Nothobranchius furzeri: one gene and its partners. The protein of the gene in region 3 purifies or fractionates together with the protein of the main gene of each other region. This does not show direct contact. Links are inferred from orthologs where the notes say so. Each region holds a gene or a part of one and is shown on either strand. Other genes may lie near its edges.

Region 1 (4,275 bases), on a different chromosome or scaffold from region 3:
GAGCCACCTGTGTGTCCTCGTGGATGATCGCAAGGTGCAGGATTCTACAGAAGAGATCAAAAACGATTACTTCGATCCTTTTTATCCTCGAGAACCCTGCAGCTCTGGGTATTCTCATGTTGAGCAAGAACTGCACCGTAACTGTAGGTGGGTAGCAAAAGTTGACGCTTCAACGAAAAAGCATCGTATCACTTTTTTCCTCAGTACTCATCTCAAAAGAGGGCCTCAGAGTGTAACTTTTAGTGGGCTGCACGGCAAAACTGAGCAGCAGGGGTGGTGTGCAACACACAAAACTAGAAAAGACCTCATATTAGTGCTAAAAATCACCTTCAACCAGACGCTGGATGAAGTGAACAACAAGGCGAAACAACAACACAAAAACCTCAAGAGGCTGCGTGGGAAGTGGTAGCAAACGAATGCAAAAGCAGGAAATGGAACCAAGCTTTGGTGCTTAATTTAAACTAGCTTAGAAGAAAGCAGCGCAGGCTTCGGCTGATTTCAACACATTCAAATCGAGCTGTGAACATCCATGTGCAACATTCAAGACGGCTACAGAGCTGCTTGTAGCAGCCGTAGTGGATGAGCTCAGAGGCTGTTTAACCGCAGCGTGCTCTCGTTTCAGAATAAATGTCACAGAACTAAAACCTGCTTCAGACAGCAGTGGGATCAAAAGGAGACGCAAAATCTCACGGTGCAGACGTTCATTTAGATTTCTACTCTCAACGTCTAAACTAAACGGAAAAAAGACATTTAAGGTGGATAAAATAAAATGCATGATAATAATGGTGGTTGGATACAATTACTCTGCAGAAACTGACAGGTTAGCACAAAGACTAATACATTTCAAAAATGAAAAATGTCAGAGAAAAGTTTTCACAACTGCAGACAACTGAAGCACATTTCTGCAGGTTTTTTCCTGAATTTAGCTAAAACCAGTACAAATAGCATTTGCATCATCTGTCATATACCTTTGAAATGTGAGCTTTTCCTCTAAAAACATGAATCGTTTTGCAGAATGTTAACATTTAAATGTAAAAAGAAGCAGACAAATTAGCTCAAATTCATCTTTGCACAAACAAAATGAATAAAAGGAAGAATCTTTAAAAAAAATGCTTGAAAGCGGATCAAGAAAATGCCATAATCAAACCTCTTGATGTTTTTGGCAGATGTGTCTGTGTGAAGTTCGTCCCAAACGTCTGCAGGCTAACATCATTCAACCCTGTAAGCATGATTTGAGTTTGAGCGGGACTTCCAGGTCTGGGTAAATCTTGAATGAATGACTTTTTAAAAAAATTCCCACAGGGGAAAGTGAGTGTTTGCATAGTTCTCTCTGTTAGCGTTTCAGGTGTTTTTTCCCCCTTCCCCAGCAGGTATCTATTGTTAGGGTGTGAGAATGAAACCATATGGCTCTGACAGTCAGCGAGCGGAAATTAAAAGAGGTCAGAGACTAAAGCGACATTTCCGCAATCCTGTGACTACATCACAGTGGTTGTAGATTTCATTACTAAGCCTGCTTTATTGTTAAAACACACACGGATGGCCCCAGATGAGTGGGTCACACTAGAAGCCCTGCAAAGGCTGAAGAAGCTGCATGCGGAGGTGTGGATCGTTTGAAGAAAAAGGTGCAGTTTCACTGAGTCAAGAGGAGGAATGAGCAGCAGAAAAAAAAGAGCATTTGATGCATGAGAGTTAAAAATAAAACAAATAGCTTCTGAATTGTAGGAGAGAATAATGCACGCAGATGCTGTTGTGTCCTGATCAACCAGTTTCGTTGATGTACCTCGCAGACATGTGCTTTGTGATGCAGGCAGGGGGAAGTCCAGGCCTATCTGTTTCACTTCTGGTTTCTGACTGTTCACATTCATGGCATGGACAAAGTTCAACAATAGAAAAAAACTCTGCATGTTCATGATATGAAATCCCCTTCAACACCAGCAGTAACTTTGGAAAATAAGGCCTCATTCATAGAAATTCGCACATGGGTGGAAACTTAATATTTTGGGGGAGATTTTCTAATCTGACTCTAAAAACAGCTGATTGTGTTCATTTATCACGTGATTTATACTTAAGACTCATTGTCCTGAAATGGAAACAGTTCTTGATTTAATCAGGAGATAGAGGATCTTTAGGTGCAGCTCTGATTTATTTCTACCAGATGCTGCAGATTAACTTCCAGGAAGCGAGCTGGAGGATGGTTGGATAATTAAACCACTTTGACAGAATTTGTAAACAGAGAAATTATTTAAACTAATTGCTAATTAAAAAAGAAAAACGTACGTGTCTCCATCGTCTGTAATAGTTGTGAGTAAGTCTTCTTGTTCAGACAGTTCACAGATCTGTTCCTGCTGCTCTTCGGCGGTGGACAAAGTGCAACCCTCCACCATCGGTGGCAGACTCTCCACCGTGATGGACGAAGATCCGTAGGCTGAGTCCAAGCGCTCGTCCGGGGAGAAAAGCTTGTCCCTCGGCCCGCCGAAGTCGGTACTCGGCTCCCGGGAATCCTCCGGCTTCACAATGGAGCGGTACGAGTCAATCCCCGAGTCCGTGCGGGTGTCCTCCAGAAAATCGTCCTTACTACAGTCGTGGCTCGTCATGATGGTGGTGGCCCTTTCTGGGTTTCCCCTACCCGCCCTTCCCCGATTAATAACGGCTTTCAGCGGCGGCTGTCGTGGCTGCTTCCTCGGCGGTGTGACCGGACAGCCTGTTAGCGCACGAGAAAACCACCGCTTCTTTGTGAGACCAGATAAATGAGCCGCTCCGTCTCATGCCAATAACCGACCACACGTTCCCTCGCAGTAACGAGCCGTCGGTCTTTATCGGTTCTCTGTTTTGTAGAGAAAAAACGTTTCAAACCATGTCGGTTTCTCCCAAACTCCCCAGTTAAAGCAAAACTGGTTTAAAAACAAAAGCAGACGGCTAACAGTCGGGGAGATATCCGGTGGCAGCGAGCTCCAGGCGGAGAGCATACGAGCAATGAAAGGCGATAATGGGAAGAGCTGACATCTGAAAGCCAGAGCTGTTTTTGTCACGCGGGGGAATCCCCAGTGCGCGCGAAGGAACCGAACACACACAAGCGCGCGCGAGCGCACACACGCACAGTTCAACAGAGAACGTAAAGAACGTGCTTACGGCGGAAATGCGGGATTTTCAAAATTAAAGCATAGGACAATAGTTATATGTCGAAGGGCAATCGAGGTTTTGGCCAATCTTTGTCCCGAACATTCCTTAAAGTAATGACGTGCACGGTTAGAAATAACTGTCAAGTTGGATCTGTTTATTTACAATTAACTGGCTCTGAAGAGAAATTAAAAAATATATTCAAAAAACCTGTTTTGTTTGTTTCAGATACAATAATCCAAATGAAGACAAGTCTCAAAGTCTTAAAATATCAACTGTCGTTTTTAATTAAACAATACTGATTATTTTTCTTATGCATAATTATTTTTAGGGCAAACTTGTTGCAGTTGAATCTGCTGGTTTTATTTATGTTTAAGTCAACTCTTTCTGGACTTCAGTTTGATTCATGGTAATTTCCAGCAGTGCACATTCTCTAGATGTCAGTTTTACTTTTAAAGTAAACTCCAGGGTAGCAGCAAAACCACATATATTATTCAAGTTTCTTATTTTCACAAGAAGCTGCCAAAGCAATGACTGTTTATATAAATTACATCATGCTGAAAGTGACTAAAATAAAGATAAATCAATCAATCAATCAATCAAATTTATTTATAAAGCGCTTTTCAAACAAAGTGCAATTCAAAGTGCTTTACAAAATGACCCCAGATTCCCATAACAGGTTAAAAACAATAACAGACATATGCACGCACACGCACACACACACACGCACACACACACGTAAAAATTATATTTGGCTGAGCCCAGATGAGCCAAGTATGAGCCAAGTATGGTAACGCAAGGAAACGCCATCAGAGGAGCCATCTGTCCCAGAAGCATCAGGTCTTCCACACTAAGTCAGGGCGCTTAGAAATGTCTTTTTTTTTTACTTCACTTTGCTCTTGGAGAAGCCTACAATGAACTCCACAGTATTCATATAGGATGTTTTTATATTTTTTAAACACATTTTATGATTTATTTGTGTGCTTTGGCCTTCAGAGGGCTCACTTACACAGTATGTGCTGCTATTGTGAGTCAGATTAAAATAAATACAATCTATAAAATGAAAGTCCCTTCCAAAGAGACATCTTTATTACTGCCATCTGTTTTAGTGTGATCTACTGTTATGTTAGCTCACTCCACATTCTGCCAACAGTCCAG
Region 2 (4,244 bases), on a different chromosome or scaffold from region 3:
AGGACCCCCAGGCTCCAAAGGTCCACCTTTTCATCATGGGTTTTGCCTTCAATCATTTCTGGGGGCAAGTAGTCAAGTGTTCCACACAGAGTGGACCTTCTGCAGGGGTAAAAACATTTCTAAAATAGGACTTTATTATGCAAGGACAGAAAAGATCGTCACACAAAGAAAAACCAGACAACGATCCTCAACATCAGCAGACCAGAGCCCATAAAACACAGTAAGAAGTTGCATTAAACACATCTGCGTACCTGGATGAAGGGGTGTGAACAGACCAGCCAAAGTCAGCGATCTTCAGCTCCCCGTTGCCTCCCAGGAGCAAATTCTCTGGTTTGATGTCTCTGTGGATCACATTCTTGATGTGGCAATAGTGGAGAGCATCTGCCAGCTCCATAATGTACTAATAACACAAAAGAAAAAACAGTAAGTGGAATTAAGAGTACACCTTCAATAAACCTGTGGAATGTTGACTGTGTTTGAAGTTTGAAGTGTTTTTAACTTACTGTTGCACTCCTGTCTTCTGGGAAACTTCCACACTTCTGCAGCTCGCCGTACAGCTCTCCCTTAGGTGCAAACTCAAGGATGAGATACACACGGGTCGCATCATGGAAGTAGCCATAGAGACGAAGGATGTTCGGATGCCTGTATGAAACCCATGCAGGAGAGAATTCTGTGAAACTGTCTTAAAGGAACTCAAGACAGAGGATAAAGTTTAGATTGGTGTTTTATTGTAATTTTCACATCACATCACCTGAGATGAGACTGAATCTCCACCTCTCTCCTCAGCTGGTGTTCCACCCCAGCCTTCTCAAGCTGGTTCTTGAAGAGCACCTTCAGGGCCAAGATGAATTTAGTCTGACGCTCCCTCGCCAAGTAGACGTTCCCAAACTTGCCCTTCCCCAAGGGACGGCCGATATCGAAGTTTTCCAGGCACCACCGCGTTCTGCATTTACACAGCAGTACAGAGTTAGAAATCCTATTCTGATCTGTTGAATTATTGCACAAATAGAATGTAGAATGTGCACTTGACGTACTTTGATGGGGCCACCTGATTAGTCTTGGCAGGTTTGTCTTAAAAAAAAAAAAAAAAAGGATATTTTAGTGTCTACAACAAACACTTGCTTATTCTTGTTTATTTTAGAAATGTGCATACTCTGTGGCTTTGCCTGCTTTGCAGGATCAGAGGGAGGCTTGGCACTGGGTACATGGGTCGTCGGCTGGTTTTGCTGGGAAACAGGCTTTGGTTGTGGTGGATTTGAACATGGTGTAGCAGGGTTTGCATTCTGGTCAGCAGGCTGTTTTGACTTAACAACAGAGACCTGAGACACTGGTTTCTGATGACTGACTGGCCGCTGAACGCGCTGGGGACCATTGGACACACCGAGGACTCGTGGCTGAGTTGGTGTGACAACGGCCTTTGAGTTATGCGATACAGGAACACGCCTCGGCCCGTCACCACTGGACTGCAATCACAAGAGGTCATTAACTATTAGAATCAGATTTACAGCAATTTTACACAAAGTGATGAATGAAAAAATAAGTAGTAGGTCTAGAAATATGTAGTTTTAAAAGATATTTCATACTTCTCTACCAACATTCTGGTTTGGATGTAGATCCAATGACAACTTTTAAGTGTTTCATTAAATTCCCTCCAGTGGTCCATGAAACGTTTTTGCAAGTTAAGTAAGCGAAGATGTTCAGCGTTATAGTGGTGCAAGATTGGGAATTTGGGATTACTCAGACTGTCGCACCAAAATTGAAGACCATGTATGTAAAAAAATGTCTGAGCTAGTCATTTCTGTGATTGCTAATCTTGATTAGCTGTGGCAGCCATCTTGAATCAAGAGTTAAGTTAGTCAATCCAATGATTATTTCCCAAGTTTAGCTGTGAACTACCCAATGACTCGTGAGATATTCCAATAACACTAGAGACCAATCAACACACAAGCCAACAATAACAGAACATTTTGCCATCAATAATACAAGATTGAATGACTGACTTTTCTTTGTACATTACTTCTAATTAATATTTGCCCACATATGCTTGTGTAAGGCACTACGTTGCTAAATTTAAGTTTAACCCAGAGCCTCAAGATCAACATGAGATTTACGTGTCAACACCTGGCTGACTGTTTTATATTAAACTAGACTTGCTTTACCTTTACAACAGGCCTTGGAGGTTTCACGAGCCCTGCAACCTTCAGCGTGGTGGAAGAGTCCATAGTCTGAGAAGACATCAGGTATAACTCAAACATGACTAAACTCCACCACTACTAAAATAAAACTCTCGTGGCAGCTTTCTTCAAAATAATAGTGACAAAATGTAAAAGTAACCCCCAGCATCCACTCTGGCACGGTCATTCAAACGTATAAAGAGAACAGCTTCGCGTTAGCCTAGCCTAGCATAGCTGCTAGTATGTCAAGTCGTCTGACACAACTGCTGGTAATAAAGACAGGTTAGTTTAACTACTCACCTAAATAGTATTGCACGATAACCAAATGAGCAGCAACTAGTTGATTGACCCTAAATGAAAGCAGCCCCCGAGCAGGTAACCCTTTACCCAGGCTTGCTAGCAGCTACATCGATCGGTTGAACAGGTAATGTCGATGTCTTCTAATTACATGTAAGGCAAACAGCAGTAATCAAACAATGTAGCAATATCCGTGTCGTAAACTATGGTTTGAAATTAGCTAACAAATTTTAGTCACGCAAAAGTGCGTACTCTGAGGAAAAATGCTTGTCCGGAGGACACTTTCCTTAATCGCAGCCTGTTTAATTTCAAACGTCCCTCTGTTCAAAACCTTTAAAGAAACAAACGGCTTTCATTGGTTGAATGAATGCTCTAAATTCGCCTTCCATTGGCTGTTATGATATGAAAAAAAAACGGAAACAGGATGACGTAAAAAGAATCATTCCAACCGGTAGGGGGCAGTAGAGGAATGGTTGAATATGGAGTCCAGGAAAAAGTGCTCCTGAAAATATCAAATTTATACCTTTAGCAGTCCACGTTTGACCAATTTCCCAATTGTTTACAAATTTCTGATACATGTGTGCACTTCACACATTTTTCATTTTATTTTTAAATAATCGAATTTTGTATTGATAAGTGGAGAGGAAAAGCTTTTTTTACAGTATGGTATTTGATGAATAAAAATCTTGAAAAGATAATAAGAACTAACATTTGACAAAGCAATACCACTGGACACTGTTTTTCACATAGAATTGACATTTTATTGCCACATCATGCACTCGTGCACTTTCCACAGACATCTATGCAAGCTACCTTTAACGTAGAATGTGTCCTAAAATTTTACAATCAAGAAACTAACATTGCACTTCTTAAAACAGTTTTACAAAATAAATATATTAAATGTTACAAATGCATACAATAAAAAAGTAGTGCAGCCACTTGAAGACCCTCTCAAATGCACTTTGTAACCATTCGAGAATTTAGATCAGCCTCCACAACATGTGCAGCAGAGCTTTGATACTAAAATGTGTCACTGCAAAGGCCTCAAGATGAAGGTAAACAGACAGGATCTAGTGTGGAAGCTGATAAACTGGTCAAGTTCCTGTTGGACACATTAATGTCCACATTACAATGGCGCAACACTTGAGAAGGTCTTCTAATTAAATATAAATATGGCAAAAACATTGATCCCTTCCATTGAAATAAAATAACTAAGTTATAACAGAGTACAGTCAGAACCAAGTTGCTTGTTACAGAGAGGCGTTACATGAATGCGGTCCCACAGGAAAAAACTTGAGATGTTTTTCAAACATAAACAGACATAACTGTTAAACTTTGAATCCTCATATTTTAGGTCTCACCTTAGCTAATCAAACCGCACTTCTTACATTTATAATTGACACAAATTGCATTTGAAATCTGCTGACAAAAATATTTCTGCCATCTTAGTTTATTTGCAAACCCCTCCACAAATCTGGTTTTCTTCATACTATTTTCTACCAGATGAAACATTGTTGACATTCTGAGGTTGTTACAAAATAAAAAGCACATCTGGCAAAGGTGTGTGCGACAATCTGGCTAAAACGCTGCATCTGCTTTGGCACTTGTTCTCCTTTCCAGTTCCACCAGGTGCCTCTGAAGTCTTCTTGCCAATCCAAACATACAATGGCGGAGGTATTTAAACCGGTCCCTGAGTGTGCTGCTCGATCTTCTCAATCATCATCATCGTCCAGATTTGAAAATATTTCTCAGGACCTCTTCATGCTGCGGTCT
Region 3 (3,500 bases):
TTTTGAGGATTTTTAGCATAATGTTATCTTTAGCATTGCTGTTGCCTTTAGTGTACTTGTTTTTATTGTTGTTAAGCAGTTTGATCAGCTTTTATGCTAACTACTATATAAATAAAGCTGACTTAACTCAACAAACTCAACTGTTAGGGGTGACAGGAAACCAGAGACCCTGGAGCAAACACGGGGAGAACACAAATATCACAGAGAGGCCCAGTCAGGATTAGAACCTGCCACCCTGTTCCTGTGAGTCTACAATGTGAACCGCTGCACTTTCATGCAGCCCAACATCCAGAGCAGGATTTTAATTTTGCTCTGACACAAATCTGGTGGGATCCATGATGGTTAGTTGTGATTTCAGCATTCCACGGTTCAGAACTTGATTTCAGTCCCCGGAACAAAGAATAAATGAAAGGAAGTTAACGGGGCTATAAAAGCGATTTTCTATCCCGCTTTGCCGTTCACCCTGAATCACACATATGTTGTACTTTAAATGATAAATATTCCTGTGTTTTGATTATGTCCATCACTTACTTAGAGATTTATGAGCTTGTAAAAATTCATAATTAAAATAACAAATCAGACGTTGTGCCCCCCCGTCCCCCCGAGACCTCCGCCTATGAGTAAGACTGGTCCATTTCTGTGTTCCTGTGCAATTGGACTCACTGCTGTCGTAGATTGGTTCTGACACCACCGGCTCGAGCCGCCTGGAGAAGCCTCCATCGCTGTCGGGGAGGAAGGCGGTGAACATGAGCCGAACCACGCTGAGGTCCATCTCTTTGGCCTGATTGGCTGCTGCTATGCTGATGATGTTGCGCTGGTGGTCTGAGATGTAAAACACAAAATACACAAGTTGAAAAGTGAAGCTTTGATCGCTTCATTTTTATCGGTTCTTATCTTGAGTTTTGATTGATCATTTTTTCAAATTTCTTTTAAAGTTTCAGTTGTCGTCGTCGTCGTCTTCCTCCGCTTATCCGGGTCCGGGTCGCGGGGGCAGCATCCCAACTAGGGAGCTCCAGACCGTCCTCTCCCCGGCCACCTCCACCAGCTCTTCCGGCAGGACCCCAAGGCGTTCCCGGACCAGATTGGAGATGTAACCTCTCCAACGTGTCCTGGGTCGACCCGGGGGCCTCCTGCCGGCAGGATATGCCCGAAACACCTCCCCAGGGAGGCGTCCAGGAGGCATCCTGACCAGATGCCCAAACCACCTCAACTGACTCCTTTCGATCCGGAGGAGCAGCAGTTCTACCCAGAGTCCCTCCCGAATGTCCGCGCTCCTCACCCTATCTCTAAGGCTGAGTTTGAGTTATTCTCTACAATTTCTAATCTTTTGTCCTCAGTTTTAGAAAACTTCTGAAATAAAAAAAAATAAAAAATCTCAAATTTGAAAAATATTAACTGTGAAAATAAAATTAAAAACGATGAATGTGTTTAGAAAATAAAAATAAATGTCTATCCAGTCAAGTAAGACCAAGTACACACTTTGATCCAACACATTGTTGTGATCTCTAGTACAAATGAATGCCTTGTGAGTCAATCTCTGTAGGAAAAAGCTCTAGAACTAAAAGTGAGCCAGAGCAGAGGAGCGCTTCAGATGACGTTGGACGGTTTGGAGTCTTATTTCATGATATTAGAAGATCTCGCTTCCAATTGGCTAACAGCAATGCAACTCTACCACCGACTCCATTTATTCTGCAAAGTTGATGTTTTATCTCCACAAATAACACAAACCTGAAGGAGTTCTGCTGTGTGGTAGGGTAGCTAATGCTAACGGTTAGCTTCTACAAGCAGAGACGTGCTCTGCTGTTTCCTGGAAATTCCCCGTCGCGAGCCAAAATGGGTGAGCTAATGAATGCATTAGCAGATCAGCTGATCGGAGCACTGATCTGAGTGACGCTCAACAAAAGCAAAAGTAATTGGATGAAACATCAACCTTATTTTGAGCTTTATGATGTTGTTAAGGTGGACCTTAAACTGATGATGACGATGATGATGATGATAATTCTCTGTATTTAAAGAAGATGAAGCACTCTGACTGGTAGAGGCAGGTACCAGCGACTGACCTGAGAGTTCTCGTGGGATTCGGACCTCCCCCTGCAGCACGTCGATCTCAGGGTGGATGGCGACCCCACAGCTGTACCCCATCCTGAAGGCTTCCACCATCCTCTCCTCCAAAGTCTTTGCCACGTTCTTCTTGGTCACATGGAGGATCCCCAGGTTGGGAAAACTAACAGAAACAAAAGTTACTGTCAGCACAGAACTGAAGGTGTGTTCAGTTCTTACTCTATTTTAGAATCAAGAAAACAGATCAGCATTTACTGTCAGACAGGTCAAATAAAGTTACATCGACTCGTTGATATCTTACCTCCATACAAATTACAAGCCAAAAGAAAACATTTTTTTCATTCTTTGTTTTAATATTTGAAAGAAAAAAAAACTGAAGATGTTAGGAGCTCTCACCCATGGCTTGTTAGAACACAGATCTGTTGTCTGTCTGAACTGCTGTGACTCGTTCTACTTTCCCCTCTCCTCATTCTGGACATTTCTTAAAAAGTCACTGATTTCCTGCAGCATTAGTTTCTTTGTCTGACTGAACAAAGAGTTCCTGATCATTTTAATCTGCTCGGCTCTTCAAGTCTTACAACAGAGAAGCTTCAGGTTGTGTGTGGGTGATGCAGACCTGATGCTGGAGTCTTTGGACTGCATTTCTGCGATGCAGATGCCTTTGTCACACAGTTTCCCCACCAGGCTGTGAGCATGAAGCTGAGGCATGGGGGTCAGAGCCGTCACCAGCTGGACCACCACCCGGGCCTTACCCTGGTAATTACAGATCTGAAACACCAACACAACCACAGAAACATTGTGATAAACACCCAGAGGATCTAAAGGAGGTGAGATCTGTCAGATGAAGGTTTTTTGAGTCCTTCTGAGTTCTACAGATGAGTCACAAACACTTCAGACCTTTTCTCTGCTGCGGTTCACGGAAACTTTCTCCTGGGACAGATGACTCACCACTGCATCTCATCGCCACTAACATCAGAGATCAGCTATAGAATTAACCAGTCAGCCCACATGTTACACAAAAGTGAGATAAATCAGCTTTGAGTGTTCGGTGAGATAGAAGAGCCTTATCGCGCTCTCAGAGATCACATGATGGTTTTCTGTTCAACGTGTGGATATCAGTCAGAGAAGAAGGATCATGATATGATGCGATACGCCAACACCGATAATATCCCAGTAAGGCAGTTTGTAACAACAAATCATCAAACTGTCCTAAAATATTACATTTAATTCTCAGGTTTTTTGAACCTCACCAAACATCTGCAGCATTTCTCCCATTGTTTGTGCTTGTTGTCATTTAGATTTTATAAAAGATGTAGATTCTAGTTCTCAGGGCCGTTACCAACTTCTGATTCCTCAGAGCTCTGCCCATCTAGGCTTTGATCGATTCTGACTGATGTCTAACGACTATAATTAACGAAAAGAGAAAAGAGGCAAGAGAG
Region 4 (3,500 bases), on a different chromosome or scaffold from region 3:
TCACTCAGACATAACTAAACGAACACGACTGCTCTCACCATGAGAGGAGCAAAGTGGTTGAAGATGTGAGCAACAGTCACGAGGACCGTTGGATCTCCATGAAGCTTCCAAACAGCACAGTCCTTCTCCACCAGCTTCTCCTCCTGCAGACACACACACACACACACACACACACACACACACACACACACACACACACACACACACACACACACACTTAGATTACTGAGACACAAACTTCACAGTCAGGTACCAGAACAGGGTGAGTCACCTCAGTGTCGATGGAAGTGGACAGGACGTTCTTGATGTAACCCAGAAGTTTGTGAGCCTTCATCAGGTCTGCAGTGGGGGGGTCCTGGAGGGGCAGGTACCCTTCCACGGGGTACGTGAGTCACAGCCATGTCAAAGACCAACACCAGGTATTCAGGTATTCATGTGTCTGCACTTCCAGCAGAAGGATCACCACCCAACATCAAGATGAGTTCACTGAAACTCTGAATTTCTTTCTGAACCTTGTTCTGCGTTTCCAGGCTGAGCAGGAAGACGAATGTTCTGTTGGTTATTTTAGCTTTTTGTTTGTTATAGAACCCAGAACCAGAACCCAGCTATGTTGCTGTAAATGTTGGTTTGATTCAACACTTGCTTCTTCTGCAGCTTGAAGTCAACCAATAAGCTGCTGGAAATAACATTCATAATCGGTAAATAACTTGCGTGTGTGTTAGGGCTGTCGCGGTAACCGCAAAAATGAAATATCGCAATATGAAGAAGCCCACCGCGCTGCATCATGGGCCACCGCGATTACTGAACTTGGTTCAACTCAATGATGCATGTTGAGAAGGATGGCTGCACTGGTATCAACACGAAACGTTACTTTGCTCCTTTGGGAGCACTTTGGTTTTCAGTACGTCAGCTGCTGCGCAGCCAGAGTCCTTGGCCGAGACAGAGCTGCCACCAGCGGCAAAAAAATAATAATAAACGCTCGGAGACCTGCTGAAGTCCCGGACAAGCACTGCTTCTGCAACCGTCCCGAAGAGAGTTTGAGCCGAGCTGGAGCTCACTCGCTACCTGCAGGAGGAATGCATCCACCCTAAAGAAACCCCCCTGACACGGTGGAGCAACAAGCGGGAGAGATTCCCTTTGCTCGCCAGAGTCGCACACAGGTACGTGTGCGTTAGTGCAACGAGCGCACCATCCGAGAGGGTTTTCAGTGTTGCTGGAAATGTTGCCACCCCTCTCAGATCCTCTCTCAAACCGTGTATGGTTAACATGCTTGGTTTTCCTTGTAGGTAACAAGGACGTGACCGAGCTATAAATCACCGTCATTCGTGTGTGTGTGAAAGTGAAATGATAGTGCGCCCGCCCCCCGGCGCGCGCGCGCCCGGTACATGTAATTTTTATGCTTGATTTTAAACAACTAAACAAAATGGGGACTTGTTTCTTATTTGTTAGATGCTGCAGCCAAATTTGCATTTAAAAGTTTAATCTCCTGAATTTTGTTGTTTTTAAGTTCAGTCGGACTCCGACTTTCGGAGAAACAAACGTTACTGCGATCTGTGTTGTTACTGCCCTTTGATCTGCATTCAGTAAAGTGTTATAAAAGAAGGCACGGCAATTTTTCACCTTTTTTAAATGTGTAAACATTATGTTTAGATAGTACTGCAATAAAAAAAGGGCTGCAATAATATCGCACACCGCAATATTAAGCCACCCTGAATCACCGCAGGGGGAATTCCTCAACCGCGACAGCCCTAGTGTGCGTGTGTGTGTGTGTGTGTGTGTGTGTGTGTGTGTGTGTGTGTGTGTGTGAGTGAGTGAGTGAGTGAGTGAGTGAGTGAGTGAGTGAGTGAGTGAGTGAGTGAGTGAGTGAGTGAGTGAGTGAGTGAGTGAGTGAGTGAGTGAGTGAGTGATCAGCTGAGCCTCATCCGGTCTGAGCCCTGAGCAGGAAGGATATCGGAGCGGTCTGCTGCCAAAGTTAAAAGCCACCGACTCTTTGAAGGAGAGGCTGATGGCGGGAAAGTAGGCGACGCCGGGACCCATCTTTATGTTGGTGAAGGCCGTGCCCAGAGACTGGCCGTTCCTACACGTGGAGCAAAGACCTGGATCAGGAGTCAGGTTTTACACCATGTACAGACGAAGCACCAATGCATGATGGGACAACAGAACCAGAGTAAATATCTGAGACACTGACCACAAACTCTGGTCTTTATTATTAAACTGGTACGTTTGAGTCGTCTCTCCTTGGTTCTGTTCGACGTTTCCACATGAACAAGTTAAAACTGAGTCTTAACAACACGTCTCTTCTCACTGTGACTAAACGCTGCACAGAACTGAGATGACGTTTTTAATTGGAACAAAATCTAAGTTTTCAAATTAAATGTTAGAAAAATAAATTTCTGGAAGCACAGCTTAGCCCAGCTCCAGTTGCTCTTAGTTAGCTTAGCATAAACACTGAAAACAGGTGGAAACTATTAGCCTGCCTCTTTCCACTGCTCTCATGTGGACTTACAGGCAGAATGTGATGGTTCCTTCGTCTAGATCGATCAGACAGCTCACAATGTCTCCAGCTGCCCACGACTGCACAAAACACACAACATGCATCAGTATTTAACTTGATCTCAGTGTCACACACACATACATGCGCGCATGCAGTCTAGGACTCACCTTTCCATAGTTCGTGGTGGTTACGTTCCACTTCCTCACTCTGTTCCCATCGTAAGCGTATGAGTCTGGAGTGTCACCGACTCCCTCCTGGACCAGAACATGATTGTGATTCTGCAGCAAACCGACTCGAACACGCCAGGTCTGACTCAACATCAAACTTCAAATTTTAACAGGTAACTAATGTGTGTGACTCTCAGCAAACCTGACAGATGTTTCATCTAATAAGGTATCAGGTGTGTGTGTGTGTATGAATGGATGTATGTGTATGCATGTATTTATGTGTGTGTATGCATGTATTTATGTGTGTGTGTGTGTGTGTGTGTGTGTGTGTGTGTGTGCGCACCTCCTGATTGAAGCGACAGTTGAGGGTACACCAGCCGATTTGCATCAGACCCTGAGAGGAGATCAGAACCTCGTAGGCCCATTTCCCTGCAGACACAGAACCTCTGGTTAGGTCCAAACCTCTAGCTAACAGTTGTCCTAGGGCTGGGCAATAAATCGAAAATTAATCGTTATCAAAATTTCTGGCTCTTATCGACAAAAATTTTCCCATGTCAGTAAATTTGATAATTAAAAAACTTCTGTTTAGGTTTTCTTTTCAAACAGAACTGAAGGTTTAATAACAGGAGACTGATCTGATTGAACGGCAACCAGCTGGCCCATCTCCTGACCTGTTTTCTGTGTGTGTGTGTGTGTGTGTGTGTGTGTGTGTGTGTGTGCGTGCGTGCGTGCGTGCGTGCGTGCGTGTATACAGTCTGGTTTTGTACCTGCAGGGGAAACTCTGAACATCGCTCTCATTTACCTTTATAAACACACGTGGTGGCTCTGATGGAGCTGAA
Region 5 (4,250 bases), on a different chromosome or scaffold from region 3:
CAGTGCGCCCCAGGGCAGCTGTGGCTACATCGTAGCTCATCACCACCAGTGTGTGAATGTGTGGGTGACTGATCCGTGTTGAGGAGTAGCTACTCCTGTGATCAGCTGACCTGAGCGAACGAGCGGGCGTGTAGCGATGCAGTAGCTCAGACAGATAGGGAGGGGCCGGGCCATTTAAGCCCTTAAAAGCAAATAAAATCATTTTAAAATCAATCCTAAAATGAACAAGCAGCCAGTGCAGGGAGGCTAAAATGAGGGAAAACCTTTGATTGCCACTTAAAAGGCGAGCTGCAGCACTCAGAACCCTCTGAAGCTGAGCAAGGCAGGATTCACTGACTCCTACCTCAAATGCCAACATACTATTCTGATAGGAAGTGGGTGGTTGATTGTGTCGAGGCTGCTGAGAGGGCTAGTAGAACCAAAACCGCTGCCGATTTAGCATCAGCAGCTAAAGAAATGTTGCTACGGACAGCTAGAAGAGCAGATTCAGAGCTGTGCCGACAACAAGAAGCAGACTGAAAAACTCAAGGATTGGATTGTCATCTAGGAAAGTCTGGAACTGCATAAAAGCAGCATGTGTTGATCCTGATAAACTCAGCCTGTCGTGGACACCGCTCCTGCATCCAATCACCGTTACAGTAAAGGCTGAAATTACTGTTTGAATTTACTTTGTTCTTTTACCTCGATAACTCTAAACTTAAACGACTTCTGAAAATGCTAAATCAGACACACGGAAACCTAAAAGCCCCGCTGAGCATCTGGTAATACACACAAGCGTGACCGTCGTGTGTTTTTAGGTACCTCGAAGCTGCTGGTTGTCACACAACAATCTGGTCACCACTTCATTACCAGCGAACTCTGGTGGGACCCTGAGGACCCCCCCGCAGTCCTCTCCTGACATGTCCCACTGCATCGGACCATCAGGCTGCGGCTGCACCATTCCTGCAGAAGCAAAGGCTGGGAATTACAGAGATCTAATCCATTCACTTCTTCATATGAAGAACTCAGACTCTGGCGGTTCCTGAACCTGTTTCCTGGTTTCCTTTGGAGACTTGTTACACTTTTAGCTCATTTTTTAATAACGTCTAAAATCCAGCCTTCGTGGCATTTATTTAAACGGGCATTGGAGAAACTTTTTTGTTAGTCAAATTAAAACATATTGTGTACGTTGGTAAGAAAGACTAAAAAACCTGTTACCATCAACACTGCAGGTCAGTTCAAACCAGCAGAGGCAGGAACAGTTTGTTTCACCACCAACAGAAAATCATCCCAGAAACTGCAGAGTTCAGTCACTTCTTTACTGCTTTATGACGTCACACCTGTAGTGAGTGAATCTCACCACTGTGGGATTAATAAAGTCTATTCTATTCCTTTTTTTATGTTATTGTGGTCGCTCCGATTGTCATCTAATGCAACAACAGACAAAACAGCAACTTTTGCTGCTTCTGTAGCTCTAGTAAGAAAAAAGTTTCCCCTGGTTCGCTAACTACTTCCTTACTTATAAATATGGTTTCCAATAATCTACACATTGAAGTCAGAAGTAAATTAGAAAAAAGAACAATCAAGCAATTATCTGAGTCTACAGCCGATCGCTTTCAAATGCACAAAAATATCAGAAATACAAATGGTTCTAATTCTAGTTATCACCATGTTCTTATTGTTAAATTCACATTACTATAACATACCAAATGGCTCATAAAGATGAAAAAACAGGAAGTCACAAGGATCTCCTGCATGTATATTTTTCCCTTGTATGAATATTGTCCTTGTTCAATTAAAATTGTTATTATTTGAGAGACAGCAGGCTCAAATCGTGGCTGTGCTGTTTGATTTTAAAATAAGAAGTACATAAATATGTGATTAAAAGAAAAATAAAATGAAAAACGATCCTAAAAGCCACCATGGAACAAGTGAACATTTCAGGTGTAAGTAAGACCTGAGCATGACGTCTAGGGGGACTGGACACGTTTCAGCCCCGTTGGGGATCTGGAAACGTGAAACTTTCACTTTCAGTTTAAATGTGAATTAACTGTGTTTAATATGACCGGTTTGTGTCACGGCTCATTGGCGAGGTGCCAGAAGCCCTTCTGAACAGTTACACCTGAGAACAGGTGGTCATCAACCTCTTCTTATGGGACCTCAGCCTTGTCATTGTCATAAAAGTAAGATCAGGTGTCTGCTATGAAGAACATCACGATAACCTCAGCAAAGCTCACGTTAAATACTGTTTAGACAACATAGCTAACACACAGCTAACAGACACAAAACTTGTCTTACCTTTTTAAATTTTATGTCGTAAACAACAATTATCCAGTCTCAGACTCACAAACTACTCCCTTCACCGAGTTTAAAAGAGCAATCTGACTCAAACAGCTGAGATACAGCTAATTAGCTCAGTAAGCTAATATAGCACAACAACGGCTGGGCAAACGGACGCCTTTGGTTTCACATAAACACGGACCTACATCAACGGATCATGTGGCCTTCCTAAAGCATGTGTCCAGTTTTGAATCCTTTCCTTCGTGAGTTTAAGACTACCAGAGGTAAATCAGAGGCAAACCAAAGGTAAGCTGTCAGCTTTTCGACTGTTATTAGCGTGGAAAAATCGTGATATATCACCCTCAGTTTAGCCTTGTAGGCAGAACACCCGTGACTCGAACATCGAAAAACGTGTCGTTTATTTTAAGACGTTTAATTAACACAAATGAACAATAAAAAAGTTGACAAATTACAAGTGTGTGATCAAATCGAAATGGCTGTGAATTTAAATAATACCAGTGGCACATCGTATCTTTAAGCGCTGCAGAGGAAAACTCTCCTGTCAGTATTAACCCAGGGTGTAAACACTCCGTTCTCAGGAAAGCCCCTTCCTTGTTCCGTAGTGGAAGATGACGTCAGTGCGCTGCAGCATTTTGATGTCCGCTAACGTGAAGGAGGTGAAGATGCTCCCCATCTCTGCCGCAGCGGTTTCTCTTCTGGTGGCCTGGATTTACCCCAGCGGCGCGCTTTATTTCCACATCGGAGAGACGGAGAAAAAATGCTTCATTGAAGAAATTCCAGACGAGACGATGGTGATCGGTGAGCCGGTTAGCTTAACGCAGCTAACTAGCCGTCTTGCTAACAGCTGGTTGTTTAAAGATGCAGCAGATGACACCAATAGTTGTTTATTATTATTATTATTATTATTATTATTAGAGACTCGAGTCAGACAGGAAATTCTGGAGGCTTCAGCTGCGGGTTGTTCACCACTGAGGAGAAATAACGTTTAAATATCTGAAAATTCAGATCATTTAAGGGAAACATTCAACTTTTGGCCATTGATCTTTAGCTTGTTGTTTATTATCAATAAAATAAACATTTTCCTGTTTACGAAGGTATTTCCATCAAACCTAAACAAAAGATCTGTCAAATATCAAAATGAATACACAATCTTTTAAATGCAAAGAGGAGATGGGGTATAAATGTGAATGTTTATTAAATATTTCATTCATTGCTGGGATGATTTTATGAGATAAATACTATTATTACATCCATGTGTCCAATATTCCGTCCTAACACAGGACAGCAGATGTTAAGCTGGTTTATTACTGGCATCCAATTTGTGGATGATCGTGTGTGTGTGTGTGTGTGTGTGTGTGTGTGTGTGTGTGTGTGTGTGTGTGTGTGTGTGTGTGTGTGTGTGTGTGTGTGTGTGTGTGTGACAGGAAAGTACCGGACTCAGCTGTGGGACAAACAAACCACTTCCTTCCTCCCATCCACCCCCGGCCTTGGCATGCATGTAGAGATCAAGGATCCAGACACGAAGGTAAAGCCAGACAGGAAGGTCTGGAGGTTCAGAGCAGAGGTGTAAGTCTGAAGGTGTCTCCTCCACGTTCCAGATCATCCTCTCTCGTCAGTACGGCTCTGACGGACGCTTCACCTTCACCTCTCACACTCCTGGAGAGCATCAGATCTGTTTGCACTCCAACTCCACAAAGATGGCTCTGTTTGCAGGAGGAAAGCTGGTACGGAGACCAGGACCATGGCTTGACTTTTAACGGTTTCACTTTTCCACAGGTTGGGTTAAAAAAACCAAAGTAAATATTGTTTCAGTGTAGAAGTGACACATAAACCTGTCAAAAAAGTGAACGAGTAATAGAAGCAGGGACAAAAACATCAGCAGCAGCTGGAAATGTGTGTGTTCAGTTAGATTTTCCTTAAGAAAGAAGGAATATTTTGGTTTGGTTGCTCCTCCTAAACCGCTGAAGTTT
Region 6 (3,500 bases), on a different chromosome or scaffold from region 3:
AAAACAAACCAGGTCCGGCTGTAAAACTCAAACTTTATAAAAGACAAACAGAACAGATATGGAGCTAAAATCTGATGTGGTTGCAGGTGAGTCGTCAGCTGACTGAGAAAGATTTTGTGATTGTTTTAACTGAAAATAGCTTTGAGATCTTAGTTGGAAGACTTGCAAGAAATGCGTCCTTCAAGGGATGCTTATTATTACTGATTAGGTGTCTTATTTTCCAGAGGAGTTATTGTTGGACATTTTTACCCCCAAAACTCTGCATCAGTTTAGCACGTCCATGTTAACTCTTCAACTCCCAAATTGCTTTCAACTCTGACGAATAAACAGCAAGAATGAGTCACGTTTTACTAAATCAATGCGTTTAAGTCAATGTTTCTAAAGCTTTGGTTTTAAAGAGACAGTAATGATGCACGGATGCCTCAGATTACATCAAAGATGAATAGTACATAAAAATGTTGAATAGTTTATGAACGTAATGAGTAAAAACCTTAGAAAATGATTCCTCATCTCCCACTGACCCGCTGAGTGCACCTTCTGCTGTAGCTTTAAAATCCTCCAACCTTTTTTGGTGTTTAAATAATAATAAAGATGGGAGTAGTGAGTAATGTATCCGTTCATTAACATGCATGTTAGTCAGACATCCCAGCATGTTGACTTCCTGTGCGATTAGTTATTGTGGAAATCGACCCAACTGGTTCACAGAAGGAGATATTTTTTGTATTTCTCTCAAAGTAATTTAGAAACTCATCAGCTGATTGTCGGTTTAAACAAAAATGCTGCACCAGATTCTAAATTGTTGCAGCATGGGCCTTTAGCTTTGACATCAGATATGTGGTTTCTGGTAAGACACCAGCTGATGATGAGGAAGTTGCTACGGAAACGGAAGCACTAAGAGTCAGGAGGAAGTCAAGTCATCATCATCATCATCTGTGCAACCTCCTCTTCCTCCCTTTTAACTGCTACGTATTCATGTCCCAGGGATCAGTGAGAAGTCACCGAGCTGTAATGAATGAACTATGATGAATAAGTGAAGTCTCAGACAGCCAGGTTAATACCGCCGGGCTCAGCGGGTGAAATGTGGCTGAAGCTGGATGAATGTCAGCTTCATGTTGCTGTTTAAAAAGTTTTCACTTGTAGGACGGTCTGATAGATGACATGAGCTGCACAAAAACATCCATGATTACTAACAAAAGATGCACAAAACGTGAAGTAATGCAGGGATCTGCACACAAATGCATCCCCTCCTTAACCCTGTGCAGAAAGCCAGTTTCCTTCAATGATTGTTGATTTGTTTTTGATCATCATAACAACAAAATACAACAAATGTCCTGGCTGCATGGAGCATTTAACCTTTATGTGGACTGAAACTATTCTGAAAGTCATACACACTCAAAGTATCTGAAATTTGAAATCTCAACAGGAAATCAGTGATGTTTCACATGTAAAGCACCCCCCTTCCCTTCCCCCACCAGATACTCACAGCCAGCACGAGTCTGGCGTCCTCCACTTTGTCCATGTTCAGCAGCTGGAGGAAGAGATCCGTGGACGGTCTGTAGCAGGAGAAGTGGTTGGCTAGCCGCTCTGCCATAGCACTCACTGCAACAGTACAAACACACACGGGTCGGTTTCCATCTCACACCGCCGGACTCCAAAGCTGAAACCGTCCCATCTGCATGTGGATCATGGGCATTTCTTTTGAACACCTGCCGGTTTGTGTGTCTTACGCTTGTCCAGAGCTTTGTCGTTGCCAGATTCCAGGACTTTCCTGAAGACAAATGATATACTTGGGTTTGAGCTGTCTGGTCTCGTGTAGATGTCTTCCAACAACTCCACCGCTGCGTTCAAATCACCACTGAGGAGGAATGGGGTCGGAAAATTAGAGGAGCAACTACTGTTTGGTTTTACTTAAAAAAAAGGTTGTGTGCAAGTTGAACACTCATTTATTACGGACTACATAAAAAATGTCCAACGTGGCTGTGTTTGAGTTTGTTACTACAAGAAAAAGTTGCTCCGAATGTTGTTTTCTTCGTCTTCGTCTTCCTCCGCTTATCCGGGTCCGGGTCGCGGGGGCAGCATCCCAATTAGGGAGCTCCAGGCCGTCCTCTCCCCGGCCTTGTCCACCAGCTCCTCCGGCAGGACCCCAAGGCGTTCCCGGACCAGATTGGAGATGTAACCTCTCCAACGTGTCCTGGGTCGACCCGGGGGCCTTCTGCCGGCAGGACATGCCCGAAACACCTCCCCGGGGAGGCGTCCAGGAGGCATCCTGACCAGATGCCCAAACCACCTCAACTGGCTCCTTTCGATCCGGAGGAGCAGCGGTTCTACTCCGAGTCCCTCCCGAATGTCCGAGCTCCTCACCCTATCTCTAAGGCTGAGCCCGGCCACCCTACGGAGGAAACTCATTTCGGCCGCTTGTATCCGCGATCTCGTTCTTTCGGTCATTACCCAAAGCTCATGACCATAGGTGAGGATTGGGACGTAGATCGACCGGTAAATCGAGAGCCTGGCTTTCTGGCTCAGCTCCCTCTTCCCCACGACAGATCGGCTCAGCGTCCGCATCACTGCAGACGCCGAACCAATCCGCCTGTCGATCTCCCGATCCCTCCTACCCTCACTCGTGAACAAGACCCCGAGATACTTAAACTCCTCCACTTGAGGTAGGACCTCTCCCCCGACCCGGAGGTGGCAAGCCACCCTTTTCCGGTCGAGAACCATGGTCTCAGATTTGGAGGTGCTGATCCTCATCCCAGCCGCTTCACATTCGGCCGCGAACCTACCCAGCAAGAGCTGAAGGTCAGAGCTGGATGAAGCTAGGAGGACCACATCATCCGCAAAAAGCAGAGACGAGATTCTCCTGCCACCAAACTCAACACACTCCACACCACGGCTGCGTCTAGAAATTCTGTCCATAAAAGTGATGAACAGAACCGGTGACAAAGGGCAGCCCTGGCGGAGTCCAACCCTCACTGGGAACAGGTCCGACTTACTACCGGCTATGCGGACCAAACTCACGCTCCTCTGGTAAAGGGACTGAATGGCCCTTAACAGAAAGCCACCCACCCCATACTCCTGGAGCGTCCCCCACAGGGTGCCCCTGGGGACACGGTCATAAGCCTTCTCCAAATCCACAAAGCACATGTGGATTGGTTGGGCAAACTCCCATGCCCCCTCCATCACCCTTGCAAGGGTATAGAGCTGGTCCACAGTTCCACGGCCAGGACGAAAACCACATTGCTCCTCCTCTATCTGAGATTCAACTATCGATCGGACCCTCCTCTCCAGTACCTTGGCGTAGACCTTTCCAGGGAGGCTGAGGAGTGTGATCCCCCTATAGTTGGAACACACCCTCAGGTCACCCTTCTTAAAGATGGGGACCACCACCCCGGTCTGCCACTCCCTAGGAACTGCCCTCGATGACCACGCAATGTTGTAGAGACGTGTCAACCATGACAGCCCTACAACATCCATAGCCTTGAGATACCCAGGACGAACCTCAT
Region 7 (4,269 bases), on a different chromosome or scaffold from region 3:
ACTGCCATGGCTTTGAGGAACAAGAGCTTCGGCTCAGCTCAAGAGTTTGTCTGGGCACACGACTCCTCCGAGTACGTCCACACGGAAAAGATGTTTTTATCATCCTTCTGGGTGGTGATTTTGAGTCACTGTTGTTTAACATTTGCTGTTTGTCTTCCTTTAACAGATACGCCATCAGAGAGAGCAACAGTGTTGTCAAAATCTTCAAAAACTTCAAAGAAAAGAAATCTTTTAAGCCAGATTTTGGAGCAGAAGGTAATCAGACGAGTGCCGTTGGCTAGATTTCCAGATTGAAGACGGTCGTTTTATTCACTGGATCTGCATTTCTGCTCTGCAGGGATCTACGGGGGGTTCTTGCTGGGAGTTAGGTCGGTGAACGGACTGGCGTTTTACGACTGGGAGAACACAGAGCTGATCCGTCGCATTGAGATCCAGCCCAAGCATGTAAGACTTGAGTTACCTTGTCCTTTTACATACATGATACTCTATTTGAATCACGCTTTAAATGTTTTAGTCTGATTTTTCTTTTCTTTTTTTTTTTTTTTGGCTTGTTCAGATCTTTTGGTCAGACTCGGGGGAATTGGTCTGCATTGCTACGGAGGAGTCCTTCTTCATTCTACGTTACCTGGCAGAGAAAGTAGCCGCCTCCCAAGAAAACAACGAAGGTGTGACAGAGGACGGGATTGAAGATGCCTTTGAGGTCAGTGTGTAGATGAATGCCCGTTGCGGGAAGCCCGTATTTTTAACGCATTGTTCACCTGGCAGCTGTGTCTCTTTGCAGTGTTTGTAGCACGTTCCTAATAAACTAGAGGGAGCTGTTTTAAACTGACAGTTACTGAGCCGTACTGGTGTGTCTTTTGCGTGTATTATTTGCTAACCTTTTGTATGAATGTCCTATCCTCAGGTCCAGGGGGAGATCCAGGAGATTGTGAAGACTGGACTTTGGGTGGGAGACTGCTTTATCTACACCAGCTCTGTGAACAGACTCAATTACTTTGTAGGAGGAGAAATTGTGACTATTGCACATCTGGACAGGTAAGAACAGGTTGTTTAGGCCTTACTTATATAGGATAAGACCATGCAAGCACTACATTTACATTTATCAGAAAAAAGCAGTTCAGCGTCGATAAACGGACAGTCACACCTAGATAAAGAAGTAACACTAAACACTGGTGCGTAGTTCCATCCACAGTTTTTATTGTCCTTGCAGAACCATGTACCTGCTGGGTTACATACCAAAGGATGACCGGCTGTACCTCGGAGACAAGGAGCTCAACATAGTCAGTTATTCACTGTTGGTCTCTGTCCTGGAATACCAGACTGCTGTAATGAGAAGGGACTTTGGAATGGCAGACAAGGTGCTACCAACTATTCCTAAAGAGCAGAGGACCAGAGTGGCTCATTTCCTGGAGAAACAGGTGATGAAAACCCATAAAGACCTGCAATTATTTAATTTTTTATTTATTTTGCTCCTCATCAATGAACAGATGTGGTTTTAATTTGACACTGATGGTTTTATTTGTCTCGTCAGGGCTTCAAGCAGCAGGCTCTGGCGGTGTCTACAGACCCGGAGCACAGATTTGAGTTGGCCCTGCAGCTGGGAGAGCTGAAGATCGCCTACCAGCTGGCTGTCGAAGCAGAGGTTAGAGCTTTTGTCTCCTCACGTCGTTTTCTCGTTACTTTTCCAAACACTTTTTGTATTTGTGACTCATGTCATCACTGCTAACAAAATGTGTTTCTCTGCAGTCGGAGCAAAAATGGAAGCAGCTTGCAGAGCTGGCCATCAGTAAGTGCCAGTTCGGCCTGGCCCAGGAGTGCCTGCACCACGCTCAGGATTACGGTGGCCTGCTGCTCCTCGCCACAGCTTCTGGTAATGCCACCATGGTGGGCAAGCTGGCCGAAGGGGCAGAAAGAGACGGCAAGAACAACGTGGCCTTCATGACCTACTTTCTTCAGGGGAAGTGAGTATTTGATGTGGTGACAAACATGGTGTGCAGTAATTATAAGAAGATTCTGGATCATGTACGTACATATTCTTCTCTAGATTGGACCAATGTTTGGAGCTTCTGATCAGGACTAACAGACTTCCAGAAGCTGCCTTCCTGGCTCGCACATACCTGCCCAGCCAGGTGTCGCGTGTAGTCAAATTGTGGAGGGAGAATTTAGCCAAAGTCAACCAGAAGGTCAGATCTGGCATCAAGATCTTTGATTATATGATTTGCAAAGAGAAAAGTAGTTTGGACGCTTTAACCAAGCCTCTGTTGCAGGCAGCTGATTCATTAGCCGACCCTACCGAGTACGAGAATCTGTTCCCTGGGCTGAAAGAAGCGTTTGCAGCTGAATATTACCTGAGGGAAAGCTGCTTGGGCAGCTCCAGACCTGCTAAAGATTATCCTCTTGTTACAGTAAGTTTGACCTCTTAAAGAGCAAGTCACCCCCTACCAGTCTTACACCACTCCCACTTCCTGTTTGAAAAATGCAACAAATGCTGTTGCCTGGCAGACCGAGAGGGCGGAGCTGCTAACAAATACACACACAGGTTCACAAGGTCATTGTGACATCATAATGTCCCAGCTAACATCATAGTGTACCTCTTAGCCAAAAGCGATGGCAGATTTGAATTGAAATGCAGTGCAGAGTTTTTACCTGAAGAGGGCACAACACTGACAGTTTTAGACAGAATATTTAAATTTGAACTAAGATGCACTCAAGTGCCAAATTATTGACTACATGTGTCTTCAGCATGATTAGATACTCATTTATGTAGTTTGTCAGCAAAATAAAGTTGATTTGGAGGTGACTTGCTCTTTAAGTAAATTTTATTTTTAGAAGAAAGCACCAGCCAATCCTAAATACTGTAACTATTTTAACTTTTTTTTATATTATTATTTCACATTTTCAGCCCAATGAAGACAGGAATATTCTAGAGGAGGCTCAGGGGTACGAGCCCCAAGGCACCTTCGTTCCTCATGTCCCAAAGGTTTGTCCGCAGTAGCTTTAAGTCACCTTTAACACTAAATGATTGCCTCTCACACCTGTTCTTATTGCACAGCACCTTCAATAATATTCAAAATACCGATTTAGCAGAAGTTTGGCTAAAAGATGAAACTTTTAATCATTTATAACTTCTTTTTGCAGATGAAAGAGAGTGAAGAGTCCAGCTCGGCGCCGGTTTCACTAGTGACTCCTTCACAGCCCGAACCTGCTGCTCCCAAGATGGTAGAGAAAGAGGAAAAAGAGGAGGAGGAGGTAGAAATCCCTTCATTCTCTCAGTCACAGAAGGATAAGGTAAGTTGTTAATATTTACTGTATTTTGTACAACTCAATGATGAAATGGTGAAATCATGGTGTGTCCTTGGTTGGTGTGTGTCTGCAGACTCTGGATGAGCTGGAGGTAGACCTGGACAACATGGAGCTGGATGACATTGACACCACAGATGTTAACCTTGATGATGACTTTCTAGATGATTGAACCTGCCATCCCTTTGCTCTCTGACACTTTCAGAGCAGATTTAAATGAGACCAATTCCTTTCCCCTTTTTTGTATTTGTATGAAAAATGTTCTATTGTCATGTCTACTCACTGCAGCCTCAGATCTTCATCAGTAAAGTTTTAAATTCAGAAATAACAGATTGTATTTACTCCATTTTGTACACTATCTCTCCAGTGGGAAAACTCCACCAGTTAATATTATTTACTTTTTGTCTCTGTGCTTTGTGTTGTCTGTAATGGCAAATCAAAGTTCATTCAATAAAATCAATTGTGGTTGCTTGCTGTACATATTAAAATGTGACCTCAGGAGTTTCTATAGCTGAGTTTTCAAACATTATTCCCGCAATATATTGAAAACGATTTTAGAATTCATTAAATTCAGTTTATTTTTCCAACGCCAAAACAAGAGTCATCTCAAGGCACGTTACAATCTGTGACTATTTGGTAAACAACTGCAAAAAAGCTGGAAATGAGTTTTTCTTTTACAATGTTTTGTATATTAGAAGGTCAGAGGTCAATCAAAGATGGTTGTGACCCAAGTGGTCTTACAGGTGCATTATGTATAAATGAGGTTAAAAATGACATCCTGTGGTAAAATTTGGTTACAGCAATCACTTTAAACAACTGGAGCTTTATTATTCCGGCCGCCGCCAAATTGCAATTGTTAACGCTGCAGTATTGGCTCACGAGAGACATAGCAACCCCACACTCACTGATGGTAAACAGTAGTTATGTCCCTCCAGTTGTCTTGAAAGGAGAAAAACTGACAATCCCCAC

The links.
Region 1: the proteins of nfkb1 (region 3) and nfkbie purify together in Homo sapiens (affinity purification with mass spectrometry; 4 studies listed by BioGRID and IntAct, with this or other methods). This does not show direct contact. The link is inferred for Nothobranchius furzeri from reciprocal best matches to the Homo sapiens genes NFKB1 and NFKBIE.
Region 2: the proteins of nfkb1 (region 3) and aurka purify together in Homo sapiens (affinity purification with mass spectrometry; 4 studies listed by BioGRID and IntAct, counting the BioPlex papers as one, with this or other methods). This does not show direct contact. The link is inferred for Nothobranchius furzeri from reciprocal best matches to the Homo sapiens genes NFKB1 and AURKA.
Region 4: the proteins of nfkb1 (region 3) and E3 ubiquitin-protein ligase RNF123 purify together in Homo sapiens (affinity purification with western blotting; 4 studies listed by BioGRID). This does not show direct contact. The link is inferred for Nothobranchius furzeri from reciprocal best matches to the Homo sapiens genes NFKB1 and RNF123.
Region 5: the proteins of nfkb1 (region 3) and ikbkg purify together in Homo sapiens (affinity purification with mass spectrometry; 4 studies listed by BioGRID and IntAct, with this or other methods). This does not show direct contact. The link is inferred for Nothobranchius furzeri from reciprocal best matches to the Homo sapiens genes NFKB1 and IKBKG.
Region 6: the proteins of nfkb1 (region 3) and lrpprc purify together in Homo sapiens (affinity purification with mass spectrometry; 3 studies listed by BioGRID and IntAct, with this or other methods). This does not show direct contact. The link is inferred for Nothobranchius furzeri from reciprocal best matches to the Homo sapiens genes NFKB1 and LRPPRC.
Region 7: the proteins of nfkb1 (region 3) and copb2 purify together in Homo sapiens (affinity purification with mass spectrometry; 5 studies listed by BioGRID and IntAct, with this or other methods). This does not show direct contact. The link is inferred for Nothobranchius furzeri from reciprocal best matches to the Homo sapiens genes NFKB1 and COPB2.

What each region holds. Positions count from the first base shown.
Region 1 is NC_091742.1:8,385,258-8,389,532, reverse strand, and holds the start of nfkbie (NF-kappa-B inhibitor epsilon), read right to left. Parts: upstream 2,801-4,275; 5' UTR 2,595-2,800; coding exon 2,278-2,594; intron 45-2,277; coding exon 1-44. UniProt on the Homo sapiens protein: Sequesters NF-kappa-B transcription factor complexes in the cytoplasm, thereby inhibiting their activity. Sequestered complexes include NFKB1-RELA (p50-p65) and NFKB1-REL (p50-c-Rel) complexes.
Region 2 is NC_091743.1:61,016,285-61,020,528, reverse strand, and holds the start of aurka (aurora kinase A), read right to left. Parts: upstream 2,801-4,244; 5' UTR 2,724-2,800; intron 2,677-2,723; exon of another isoform or gene 2,475-2,676; intron 2,226-2,474; 5' UTR 2,223-2,225; coding exon 2,160-2,222; intron 1,464-2,159; coding exon 1,154-1,463; intron 1,072-1,153; coding exon 1,035-1,071; intron 944-1,034; coding exon 752-943; intron 643-751; coding exon 504-642; intron 401-503; coding exon 252-400; intron 100-251; coding exon 1-99. UniProt on the Homo sapiens protein: Mitotic serine/threonine kinase that contributes to the regulation of cell cycle progression.
Region 3 is NC_091741.1:65,318,963-65,322,462, forward strand, and holds part of nfkb1 (nuclear factor NF-kappa-B p105 subunit), read right to left. Parts: intron 2,830-3,500; coding exon 2,678-2,829; intron 2,225-2,677; coding exon 2,061-2,224; intron 823-2,060; coding exon 664-822; intron 1-663.
Region 4 is NC_091743.1:77,259,113-77,262,612, reverse strand, and holds part of E3 ubiquitin-protein ligase RNF123, read right to left. Parts: coding exon 3,464-3,500; intron 3,091-3,463; coding exon 3,005-3,090; intron 2,749-3,004; coding exon 2,662-2,748; intron 2,575-2,661; coding exon 2,507-2,574; intron 2,078-2,506; coding exon 1,952-2,077; intron 387-1,951; coding exon 272-386; intron 144-271; coding exon 39-143; intron 1-38. UniProt on the Homo sapiens protein: Catalytic subunit of the KPC complex that acts as E3 ubiquitin-protein ligase. Promotes the ubiquitination and proteasome-mediated degradation of CDKN1B which is the cyclin-dependent kinase inhibitor at the G0-G1 transition of the cell cycle.
Region 5 is NC_091755.1:44,541,826-44,546,075, reverse strand, and holds the start of ikbkg (NF-kappa-B essential modulator), read right to left. Parts: upstream 2,801-4,250; 5' UTR 2,776-2,800; intron 2,603-2,775; exon of another isoform or gene 2,278-2,602; intron 943-2,277; 5' UTR 941-942; coding exon 802-940; intron 1-801. Other genes in the region: tmed4 (transmembrane emp24 domain-containing protein 4), read left to right, coding at 2,889-3,078, 3,705-3,805, 3,879-4,004. UniProt on the Homo sapiens protein: Regulatory subunit of the IKK core complex which phosphorylates inhibitors of NF-kappa-B thus leading to the dissociation of the inhibitor/NF-kappa-B complex and ultimately the degradation of the inhibitor.
Region 6 is NC_091752.1:25,410,348-25,413,847, forward strand, and holds part of lrpprc (leucine-rich PPR motif-containing protein, mitochondrial), read right to left. Parts: intron 1,856-3,500; coding exon 1,728-1,855; intron 1,600-1,727; coding exon 1,484-1,599; intron 1-1,483. UniProt on the Homo sapiens protein: May play a role in RNA metabolism in both nuclei and mitochondria. In the nucleus binds to HNRPA1-associated poly(A) mRNAs and is part of nmRNP complexes at late stages of mRNA maturation which are possibly associated with nuclear mRNA export.
Region 7 is NC_091751.1:58,291,829-58,296,097, reverse strand, and holds the end of copb2 (coatomer subunit beta'), read left to right. Parts: coding exon 1-71; intron 72-166; coding exon 167-255; intron 256-337; coding exon 338-444; intron 445-556; coding exon 557-700; intron 701-904; coding exon 905-1,035; intron 1,036-1,210; coding exon 1,211-1,418; intron 1,419-1,531; coding exon 1,532-1,642; intron 1,643-1,746; coding exon 1,747-1,961; intron 1,962-2,044; coding exon 2,045-2,183; intron 2,184-2,267; coding exon 2,268-2,405; intron 2,406-2,902; coding exon 2,903-2,980; intron 2,981-3,138; coding exon 3,139-3,288; intron 3,289-3,376; coding exon 3,377-3,472; 3' UTR 3,473-3,769; downstream 3,770-4,269. UniProt on the Homo sapiens protein: The coatomer is a cytosolic protein complex that binds to dilysine motifs and reversibly associates with Golgi non-clathrin-coated vesicles, which further mediate biosynthetic protein transport from the ER, via the Golgi up to the trans Golgi network.